Linked DNA regions of Coturnix japonica. Each later gene encodes a partner of the first gene's protein in a complex. Links are inferred from orthologs where the notes say so. Each region holds a gene or a part of one and is shown on either strand. Other genes may lie near its edges.

Evidence for each region.
Region 2: HEATR3 (region 1) and RPF2 share a complex: the UniProt entries of both Homo sapiens proteins name them as parts of the hexameric 5S RNP precursor complex. The link is inferred for Coturnix japonica from reciprocal best matches to the Homo sapiens genes HEATR3 and RPF2.
Region 3: HEATR3 (region 1) and RRS1 share a complex: the UniProt entries of both Homo sapiens proteins name them as parts of the hexameric 5S RNP precursor complex. The link is inferred for Coturnix japonica from reciprocal best matches to the Homo sapiens genes HEATR3 and RRS1.

Annotation. Positions count from the first base shown.
Region 1 is NC_029526.1:5,553,322-5,556,972, reverse strand, and holds part of HEATR3 (HEAT repeat-containing protein 3), read left to right. Parts: intron 1-571; coding exon 572-654; intron 655-913; coding exon 914-1,050; intron 1,051-3,651. UniProt on the Homo sapiens protein: Plays a role in ribosome biogenesis and in nuclear import of the 60S ribosomal protein L5/large ribosomal subunit protein uL18 (RPL5). Required for proper erythrocyte maturation.
Region 2 is NC_029518.1:60,331,297-60,334,947, reverse strand, and holds the end of RPF2 (ribosome production factor 2 homolog), read left to right. Parts: exon of another isoform or gene 1-357; intron 358-1,355; coding exon 1,356-1,458; intron 1,459-2,444; coding exon 2,445-2,589; intron 2,590-2,742; coding exon 2,743-2,922; 3' UTR 2,923-3,425; downstream 3,426-3,651. UniProt on the Homo sapiens protein: Involved in ribosomal large subunit assembly. May regulate the localization of the 5S RNP/5S ribonucleoprotein particle to the nucleolus.
Region 3 is NC_029517.1:104,230,225-104,233,620, forward strand, and holds RRS1 (ribosome biogenesis regulatory protein homolog), read left to right. Parts: upstream 1-1,594; 5' UTR 1,595-1,661; coding exon 1,662-2,732; 3' UTR 2,733-2,873; downstream 2,874-3,396. UniProt on the Homo sapiens protein: Involved in ribosomal large subunit assembly. May regulate the localization of the 5S RNP/5S ribonucleoprotein particle to the nucleolus.

The DNA.
Region 1 (3,651 bases):
TTAATACATGGTGTCTGAAGTACAATATCTGACACTGACAAGAATTAAGTTGTTCTTGTTGCAGAATCATTTTGGTCATTGCTAATTGGGGTTGTAAAGATAAAATTCCCTATCTCAACCCAGTTATTAGGGTGATTCAGCATTCACTTGAGGTGAAAACATTCAGGGCTTTTTGTACTCAATAACAGGCAGTCTAAGCTTCATGTTAAGGTCTTTTAGATTTGTAACTATCTGAAAATTCTGTAATGGAGTCTGTGAGAAGAAAGATTTAGAAAAAACAAAAATGAGGAAGAATAGTAGAGATGAAGGAAATCACCTGATGCACAGCACAGTTACTCACTTAAAAAACACTGCGCTAAACCTGTGTTTGACTGCTTCACTTTTGAGTGATTGAGGAAGATTCTGACAATTTTAGCATGTAAGACTTTGTTTTGAGGACAGTCAAGTATGAAATACATTTACTCGAGGTATCTGTTTGACATTAAGCTAAAAATTCGGTCTTCCCATCCCCATGCTTTAGAGAAGAAAAACAAAAGCCTTCTTGCTAAACCTTTCTTTTTTGCCTCCCCAGATTCTTGAAAAAACTGCTTTTCCGAACAGTGTTGCTCTAGACATCTGTATGCACAATCCGTCTTGGAAGCCGTTAATTAAAAAGTAGGAATTTCATTGTCTCTCTTACTATTTTTCATACATACTCAGTTGTTTTAGAGCTGTTAGAGGGACTGGTCATCTTTGGGTTACTTTTAAGATCTGGAAAATGGCAGATCTTGATGCTTCATTTTTCAATGAAGGGATGCAAGTCTTTGGGTAAACCACACACCAGATCACACCCTTACTTAACTCAAGATCCTTCTCTGTATTTCTGCATTTATTTACAAAGGTCTGCTAAGTGCATCTTTTGTTTTCGTTTCAGACTGAACACAGTGCAGTGTAGAGCTTTAACATGTCTTCATAGCATTTTGTTGGTGTCAGATGTGGATTGCCTTGGAGGAGCCTCAGCGCTTCAGTCACTTGCACATCATCTCTCACAACTGATCTTTTCTAAGAAAGGTAAGGTGTTCAGAGGCTTGCTGGCCCATCATATAGGTCTAAGGTAGCTACTACACATGTTAGGTTTTATTGTCATTTTATTAATACTTGTATTCTATTAGTCTTTCAAATAAGGATTCTGAGAGTCAGAAACATGCTGACAGAACAGTGTGCAGCAGTGTAGTGTGTTTACTCAAATTGAATCTTGAGCAATTATGCTTCTATTGCAAGACTGTATTATGTCTTTGTGTGCAAGAAGAAAGTTGCTAAGTTAGCAGATGAATCCTGCCTTGCTGTGAGACCAAAACTGTTTGCTTGAATATATTAGCGATAATAGCAGCTGTTCATCAATCAGCTGTGTCATGAAGAAGATGGGACCTATTCTCTTTAAATGTGTAAATACTCATGTAAAGGGGGAAAAAAAACCAAAGAGAGTATCCAGGACAGACTGTCGCATCATTTTTTCTAGGAATTTTTTGAAATAATGGTAAAAGTGGTTGTTGCAAAGGTCTGCAGAATGCATATGTATATTGCAGGAGGAAAGATGGCAGCCTCCTTGTCTCCAGGACATGCATTATGCATGTGATTGCACAGCTTTATTGAAAACATTTGTATAGTAAGGAAGCATGCAAAGTCTTAACTGCTTAAGATAACTACTTCGTGTTATGATGGTGGTTCAGTTTGAAGGGAGAAGTCAATAAATTGGATAATTTAATTTTTCTAGAAATGATGCTGGTTTCGAATATCAGATATATCCTGGTGAACACTATCGTGCATCCAGCGTAATTCCTCCAAACACATTATTTCATAGAGATACTGTGATGGTTTCCCTGTAGGTCTGCTAGTATCCATAATGGATGGCCTAGTGTAGGTATGTGGCAGTTAGCATTTCCAGCTACCTCTTGCAATCCCTTAGATCAGATCACAGTCATTCAAATAGTACTGCTGGACCATTTATTGTATGATCTCTGTTACTAGTAGTAGAGAAGCTGAACCACGACTTTTAAAAAACAGCTGGTTCCAACTCGGTGATCTGGTTCCCTGATAAACTGCTTCATTCAAACTGTTCTACTAATGTGTTTGTTTTAAGGTCAGTGATATGGCTCATCAATAAATCAGAGATGTTCTTAGAGACTGGAGGAACCTGCCAATTCTCCAAACTGACAGAAAATGTATTTCTTAAGATGGATCTGTTGAAGTCTCGCGTGTGCACAGCTTTGTCATTCCTTGTCATTTGAAAGCTTGAGAGGATCAGTTTTCCTCCCTTTCTTCAAGTGACTTCATTTGTAACCACAAATATGGTGTATGCAGCCCTTATTTGTTGTGTAGTATGACTCTGCATTGTTGCTTGAGGATGCATCTGTCTGCAAAACACACTTTTTTTTTTCATTAAATGTCATATAAAACATTTTAAAATGTCATGTTTAAAGCATGTGATATGGTTACAGTGCTTGAAAAAAAACAAATGCAGGAAATGAAAATAAATGTGAAAACATAAGCAAGATTTCAACTTATACTTTGGAATAGTCAAGAAGTTCTTGGGTGAAACTGGAGAAATGACAAGCTGAAGACAGAGGGTCTGCAATTAGTTTAAACATTTTTTTAGTGATTAAATGTTGTCTAATGGAAACTGTTAGAGCTGATAAGTCACCAAGTGTTTAGAAGGAATTTTGTGGCTTACAGGTTGAAAAAAGGAAATAAAGATCGAGTTGCTTAGGTGGGAAAGGTGGAGGTGTGTGTTAAGTTAGCGACAGGTTCTGTGTCTGGAATAGTCCAGAAAATTGCAACACCTTAAAGAAAAAATAAAAGGCTTTGAAGAAGACAGGATGTGCACTGAAGGTGATGGCTCCTACTGGTGAATTGGTAGTTAAACAGGAATAATACACTGTTGGATTAGTTCTTTTCTGAAAGGTTATAAACCACTGGAAAGCGAGCTCTTTAGATGAGTGGGAAAGAGCCCAGTGTTCTGAGTCTGAGCCTGTTTAGAAGAAAGGAGTTAAAGACCTCAGTCAGCTTCTGTAATTTTCTCAGTTCCTCTAATATGGCCACATGCGACACACAGTTTCCAAGTTCTGTTCTGACTGGTGTCAGAACAGTCTTAGCAAGTGTTTTAACCAGGATGTCCTGAATCACACTTTTGCACCCTTAGTAAGTGTGTGGATGACACCAGGCTGTGTGGTACAGCTGACCTGCCCGAGGGGCAAGATGCCATCAGAGGAACCTGGACAGGCTTGAACAGTGTGCCCAGCTGAACCCTGTGAGCTTCAACAAATCCAAGTGCAAGGTCTTGTACCTGAGTCATGGCAACCCCTGCTGTCAGTACAGGCTGGAGGGTGTAAAGGTGGGGCACAGCCCTGCAGAAAAAGACTTGGGTGGATGTGAAGCTGTACATGAGCCAGCAATGTTCCCTCACAGGCCAGAAAGCCAACGTGCGCTGCATCAAAAGAAGCGTGGCCAGCAGGCAAGGGAGGGGATCCTGCCCCTCTGCTCTGCACAAGTTTTAGATTGGATACAAGAAAAATGTTTTTACGAAAGGAGCAGTGAAGCACTGGCACAGGTTGCCCAGGGAAGTGGTGGATGCTCCACTTCTGGAGGCACATGGGGTCAGAATGGATGGGGCTC
Region 2 (3,651 bases), on another chromosome or scaffold:
GACCACCTGCATTTGTTTGGAACAGATCGTCCTGTGGGTAAAAGGATCTGATGCCACAGGAAGACACAAAGAGAAGTGTTGCCAGTAAAAGCGCTGTAAATGTTCACTTGTGAACCCACAGAGAGCGAGTCAAAGGGAAAAATATGTGCAAAATTGGACTAAGGATTTTATTTGCAACTTCTTGTTAGTAGCTATAAATTCAACCCAGGAGGGAGGAGTGAGAGTATTTAACTGACCAAGGAAATTGCTGGCTAGACTCCAGCTGATACATGCCAGCAAGACTTTGTTTTGGATGTCATTCTGATGCTGATACCTCTTGAAAAAGGTAGTGGAGGAAAAGACAACCAGCTGAGAAACCTGAAACGGGACAGAACGAAAGAGACTGATGTGTTTTGCATCTGTTAGTGGTTCTCCTGTCTTTCAGCATTGCCCTGCCGTGTTTATTAGCACACCTTGTTCCCTCAGTCAAGGTCACATTCTTTTTTCCACCCCCTGCATCTGTTGGGCAGATTGCTGTGCTTATTTCAGGCACTGGTTGCACAGTATTTTTCATAGTCTCATGTGAAAAGCTGTCTGGGGATGGTTTATTTGGTATTTAACCTGTCTTTCGGCGTTCTGTTTGCAAACTAAGCAAGTATTTCTGGTGTTTATTTTCTATAGGTGTGTTTTGCTTATTAAATAGAGAAAGTATTAATTGTAATGACAAATCTCTCTTACTCAAAGAACTTAAGTGCTTTATTGTGGGGGAGGCACGAAGGAATTTACATACCAAAACCTTTCTTGCCCAAGTCACTGGGAGGGGAAGGTAGATAAGATTAAACAAAATAGTTCTGTTCTGTTTTGTACAAGTCTTTATCGCTTCTTTATGCTCTTCCAAGTCTGACTCTGATTAAGAGTCTTGAGTGCTGTCTTAAAAAGGCATCTGAATAAATGGCTTCTCTGTACTAATCTGCTTAGCTGAATGTGAACTGGCCTAAACATAAAACAGTGTGTGTTTAAAGACCTTGTAGCTAAAAAATGTAGAGGAATAGACTGTTTTGCTATCCCAGTCAGATTGCTAAAACAGAATTACTGCTCTGAAAGGGTATTTGTTCTTGTCCATGCACTTGGGCTTAGGTCCCATATATGAATATTGCTTCTGAATTAACTCTGGGAAGTGTTCCTCTCAGGATTCCTACATGCACTTGGTTGTGCAAAGACCCTTTTTGATGCCAGAAGAGAATCTCTACAGAGACAAGGAGTTTATATTGCTTCCATCATATGGCTCCATTATGATGTGAGCCATTTGTTACAGTCATTTCCTGGCTTTGTTTTCAGTCAAGGAATCAGACACTTACTTTTAAATATCTTTTCAGATTTCTTCAGAGGTCCCACTGTGTCCAACATTCGTCTGGCTGGGTTAGAACATGTTCTGCATTTCACAGCTGTCGATGGCAAAATTTACATGAGGAGCTACAAGTGAGTGTGTATTTTATCCATGTTTGGTTTTCTGGTAGACTTGTCAAGCTCTCCCAAATTTTAGCCTGTAATTCTGTAATTAAACTGCCTGGAGCAGTAGCGAACTGCATTTAAAACATATGGTATGTAGAGGTGTTCTGCTGTAACTCAGAGTAACTTGTGTGGCAGAAGGAAAGCACTTAAGACCTAAAGGTGTTCATTCCTTCTTTGTTCATTCCTCTTCCTTCTAGCTAGGAGGACTGTTCTCTCATGGTTGGACTGGTAATGTGTTGCAAATTAGACTTGGGGAACTGGTGAATTTGGAGTATCTTTTTAGACTTCACAGACTTAGTCTGATGTCAGGCTGATGTCGTAGGACTCTGTTGAAGAACAGCAGGCAGTACACTGTAGTCAGAGATACAGAAGGGAAAACAGGAATGTGCAGAACAAGATCATCTTCCTGACCTGGCATTTGCTCTCACAGTTCATGGCCTTTCCTCTGTGGGCTGCAAGTGCTGAAAGCCCATGTATTCTGTGCAACTTTGATTTCTCCTGTAACAACAATCTCTTTCTTAAAGAAACAAAAAACAGTACACACACAGCAAAACAGCACCAATAGAAAAGGCAGACTTTTTGCCTAGGGCTCAGAGTGTTTTGCTGTAAACTGCAGTATATGTACTTTCCCTGTTTGTTAATACACAGGGCACTGTTTTGAATTTCTGGAATGGTGTGGCTTTTTAGGGTAGTGTAATTGAATGTTAAGAGTTGTAATGAGAGTTCTAATCCCATTTAAAATACAAAAGCTAAAGAGATCATATTTTCAGTGTGTTCATGTTGTGATGGAAATTAATTATAAATTTATTGACAACTTTCTCAATAATAGAATTAGCAGTAGCAGTTTGTTTTTAATAATCTTCCCAATTGCAAGATTGAAACTGCCCTTTAGGAAGGCAGATAAATATTTGTCCCAAAGGACAATGTTGGTTGCTTTTGTTCTTTCCTTCTAGGGTGCTTCTGAAGAAATCTGGCTGTAAAATACCAAGAATTGAACTGGAAGATATCGGACCTTCGTTAGATTTGGTTATGAGGAGAACACATTTAGCTTCAGATGACCTTTATAAGTTATCTTTAAAACAACCCAAAGCCCTAAAGGTAAATCCCTTGGGATCATATGCATGTGTGGTTTTAGGCACTTGATTTGGTGGTTTATTGGTGATGATGGTACAGGCAGACACGCCTGGCTTCTCACCACAGCTACAAGCACACTCTGTACTCAGAAGTACTAATGCCGTTCTTCCCTTACAGCCTAAGAAGAAAAAGAACATCTCCCATGATGTGTTTGGTACAACTTATGGTCGGATCCACATGCAGAAACAAGATCTTAGTAAACTGCAGACAAGAAAAATGAAGGGGTTAAAAAAGAGACCAGCAGAGAAGTCAGCTGAAGATGGTGGTGTTAGTCCTAAAAAGACAAAATCTGGGTGATGGCCTGGAACAACTTGGAAAGCTATTTGTATCTTAATGTTTTTAAATGTAAATTATAATATAAAAGTGGCAAACATAAAGGATTTGGCTGCCTTTATGTTTAGTTTTATATTAAAAAATCTCACAAAAATTTATGATTTGTCATTCTGAAGGGAGCCTTGAGTTATTGAGCTCTAGCTTAGAGCCTGCTTATTTAGAAGGGGAGGGGGGAAACCACAAGATGTAACATGTTTAGTTTTCCAAAGCTGAATATTTATTCTCTTGATATGAGCAAACATGTGCTAGTTAAGCAGGTGACTCATTTCCCGAACAGTTTTATGGTTACAATGTTGGGAAACCTTGATCAGTCAACCTATCTTATGAACTCCTTGCAGGACCAGCATAGTGTGTACACATAATATGTGCAACATGACTTCTGCGTTCATTTACTGCTGATGTGTTTCAGTTTATGCACAACTGCAATACTTTAATAAACTCCAAACCATTTTCTAAAGTATGAACTCGTGACACGTGTCTAATGCCAGATTACTTGCACCAAGCCCTCCTTACCATTTGCAGAATGAGAAGTGATTAAGGTGTTTTCGCGGTGTTCATCACCATGGTAGCAAAGTACCTGATGTTTGCTTTAGGCATAAATGAAACCTTTACAGTTGGAATTTTGATCTTTGATGCTTGATTTGTGCCCAGAATGGAAGGAGCAAAGGTAAGTTAGTATTTTTGCTGATCTTA
Region 3 (3,396 bases), on another chromosome or scaffold:
ACTTTGGAAGTGTAAGAAATACTAGCGATTGCATCCTTCCACTCCTAGTCATTTATATGAACGCTTTGGGGCTTTGAACAAATATTAACCAAAAGAACTCAGAGTTCACTGCATAAGAACAAAACTCAGGAGAGCACAAGGATCAGCAGGTAGGTATTGACCAGACTGCCATTCAAAAGTACAGACGTATGCTTGAATCTCATCTAATAGTGCACATACATCCCTTCAAAGACGCATCTTTAAAGTTAATTTCATCTGTAATTCTAGGTGAAAAAATAACGAGGTCCAAGAAAGAGCATAGCCTCCAGTGCAATGCCATCTTGTGGTAAAAGGAGAAAAGGTATGCGTCATCTGCTCCAATTCTTCCATAGTGTACAAAACACACTCAGAATTGTTGACTTGGGAGTGGAAAAAAACGAGACTTTATCACAGTTAGAATTATAAGTACATTCATCTCTATTTACAAGCCTAGCATTTTATTTACTTCCCCAAAACACTGCTCTGCCGTTAGAGTCATTTCCGTCACTGCAGACATTATGTATCCGTAGAGATGTGATTTAGCTTAGTAGAAATGTGTATCTTGTGTAAAAATTCCCATAACTTCCTTGGCCACAACTAGACGCCCCCTTTAGCTTGTTTTGAGGGTACATGAGTCAGCTCGAAATGTCATGGCCATGCAGGCCACATCCCTGTAAAAGGATCCTTCCAGACCTCATTTATTTAAAAATAGCATGGCAATATCTCTGACCCAGACAACCTTTGGGTGCACGGTGTCACCTCACTTTTCACTGTGCTTCATGAGGCACCTGCCAATCCCACTATCCAAATGCTGTTCCCCTTCTTCCTTCACCAACAGCCCTGCCCTCAGGGTCACTGTCAGTCCTAGTGGGGCTGGAATATCACAGAATCACAGAATGACCCGGGTTGGAAGGGACCTCAAGGATCATGTAGTTCCAACCCCCCTGCCTGGCAGGGCCACCAAACATACACATTTACTAGATCAGGTTGCCCAGGGCCCCGTCCAACCTGGTCTTGAACACCTCCAAGGACGGGGCATCCACAACCTCCCTGGGCACCTGGGGAGGACTATATGGGACTTGAATTTTGGTTCTGCGGCTAGAACTTTTAGACATGGCTGTGCCGCAGTGCTGCGGGCACCTGAATGTTATGGAAATTTATGCTGTGAAAGAAATGTATCTATATTATTTACAAATCTGTGAGTCTTAAACCTGCTTGATGTTTGCGTGCTATCACACACACCACCCACAGTGGCTGGCAGAGCTGTGAGGCCGTTTGCTCACCCTGGATGCTGCACATTCAGTCACAGCCCTGGCCTTCCGTGATACCACGGGGCAGCAACACCTGACTTTCACAGACCCTCACTCCAGCCCTGTCCCATGCTGGGGCTAAATGCAATGCCTGCTTGGCAACCACCACACAGCGGGGCGAAGGACTGTGGCAACCACCACACAGCGGGCTGAGGGACTGTGGAAGCCGCTGTGCCCGGCATGGTGTACTACATCTCCCATGGGGCGCTGAGGCCCGTATCTGTGCAGCCTACATTTCCCGTCATTCCGGGCTCTGTACGCAGTTCCGTCGCACTGACCCGTATTGCTGCGCCGCGCTTCCTGCGCTCGGGCGGCCACACGCGGTCCGCCACCATGGCGGCCGTGCGAGTGGAGGAGGTGCTGGCGGCGGCGGCGGCCCAGGAGCAGCAGCAGGCGCGGAGCGTGCAGGTGGAGAAGGAGCTGGAGCTGGAGTTCGACCTGGGCAACCTGCTGGCGCTGGACCCCAACCCGCCTCCCGCCGCGGCGCTACGCGGGGCCGGGCCGCAGCGGGAGTCGCGGCTGCGGGCGCTGGCCCGGGACAACGCGCAGCTGTTGGCGGCGCGGCTGTGGGAGCTGCCGGCCGAGCGGGCGGACGGGGCGGCGGGGCCGCTGGTGGCGCGGCTGCCCGAGCCCGCGTTCCGCCTGCCCCGGGAGAAGCCGCCGCCTCGCCCGCGGCCCCCCACGCGCTGGGAGCAGTTCGCCCGGCTGAAGGGCATCCGGCGCCGCAAGCGGACCTCGCTGGTGTGGGACGAGGAGGCCAAGGAGTGGCGGCGGCGCTGGGGGTACCGGCGGGCGGGCGGCGACCCGGCCCGCGCCTGGTTGGCGGAGGTGCCGGCGGGCGCAGACCCGAACGAGGACCAGTTCGCCAAGCTGCGGCACGCCAAGAGGGAGCGGGTGGCCCGCAACGAGCTCAACCGGCTGCGGAACCTGGCCCGAGCGCACCGCCCCGCCGCCGCCGCCCCGCTGCACCCTACGGGCCACCAGAGCCGGCAGGAGCTGGGCCTGGTATCGCGCGTGGCCCGCGTCTCCACCGCCTCGCTCGGCCGCTTCCAGCCGCGGCTGCCCAAGGAGCCGGCGGAGCCGCCCTCCCGCGACGGCGGCAAGAAACGGCGCTTCCAGCCGCTGCTGGGAGACCTGGCGGCCGAGCGCGGGCGGCAGCTGGAGCTGCTGCGGGGCATGAACAGCAAGAAGCCGGCACTGGACATCACCCGCGCCGTCAACAAGCAGCTCCGCGAGGAGGATGCCGAGGCGGCCGCCGCCAAGGGCAAGAAGCGGGGACAGCGTGGAAAGCGGGGCCGCCGGCAGCAGCGGCCCGGGAAGAGGAGCGGAGGCGGCAAGAAGGGCGGCGCGGCCCGACGGCAGCAGCAGCCAGCGGGGGGCGGTGGCAGGAGGAAGAAGGCGTGAGGGACTGTCTGCATGCAGGCTGCAAAGGGAACAGCGCCGTGGGCACTGAGGGACTGTATGCGAGGGGTGCAAAGGGACTGCTCCACATCCACCGCTGTGCAGCCCGCACCTCTGTCAATAAACACATTTTGGTGTTTGAAATGTCTTGTGCACGGCTCCTGTGGGAGGGCTTGGGGGTGGCTGGGCAGCAGCTCCTGTGTTCTGCAATGGGGAGGTCCTTGAGGAGTGGTCCTTGAGAGCAGCTCAGCAGAGAAGGACCTGGGGGTCCTGATGGACGAAAGACTTAACATGAGCCAGCAGTGCGCTCTGGCGGCCCGGAAAGCAAATGGGATCCTGGGCTCCATCAGGAGAGGGGTGGTCAGCAGGGATAGGGAGGTGATCGTCCCTCTCTACTCTGCTCTTGTGAGGCCCCATCTGGAGTACTGTGTCCAGGTGTGGAGCCCTCAGTACAAAAAAGATATGGAGATTTTGGAAAGGGTCCAGAGGAGGGCCACGAAGGTGATCAGGGGGCTGGAGCACCTCCCCTATGAGGACAGGCTGAGAAAGTTGGGTTTGTTCAGCCTGGAGAAGAGAAGGTTGTGGGGTGACCTCATTGCAGCCTTTCAATACCTGAAGGGAACTTACTCCCAGGAAGGGAGTAAACTCTTTGAAAGGGCTGACACGG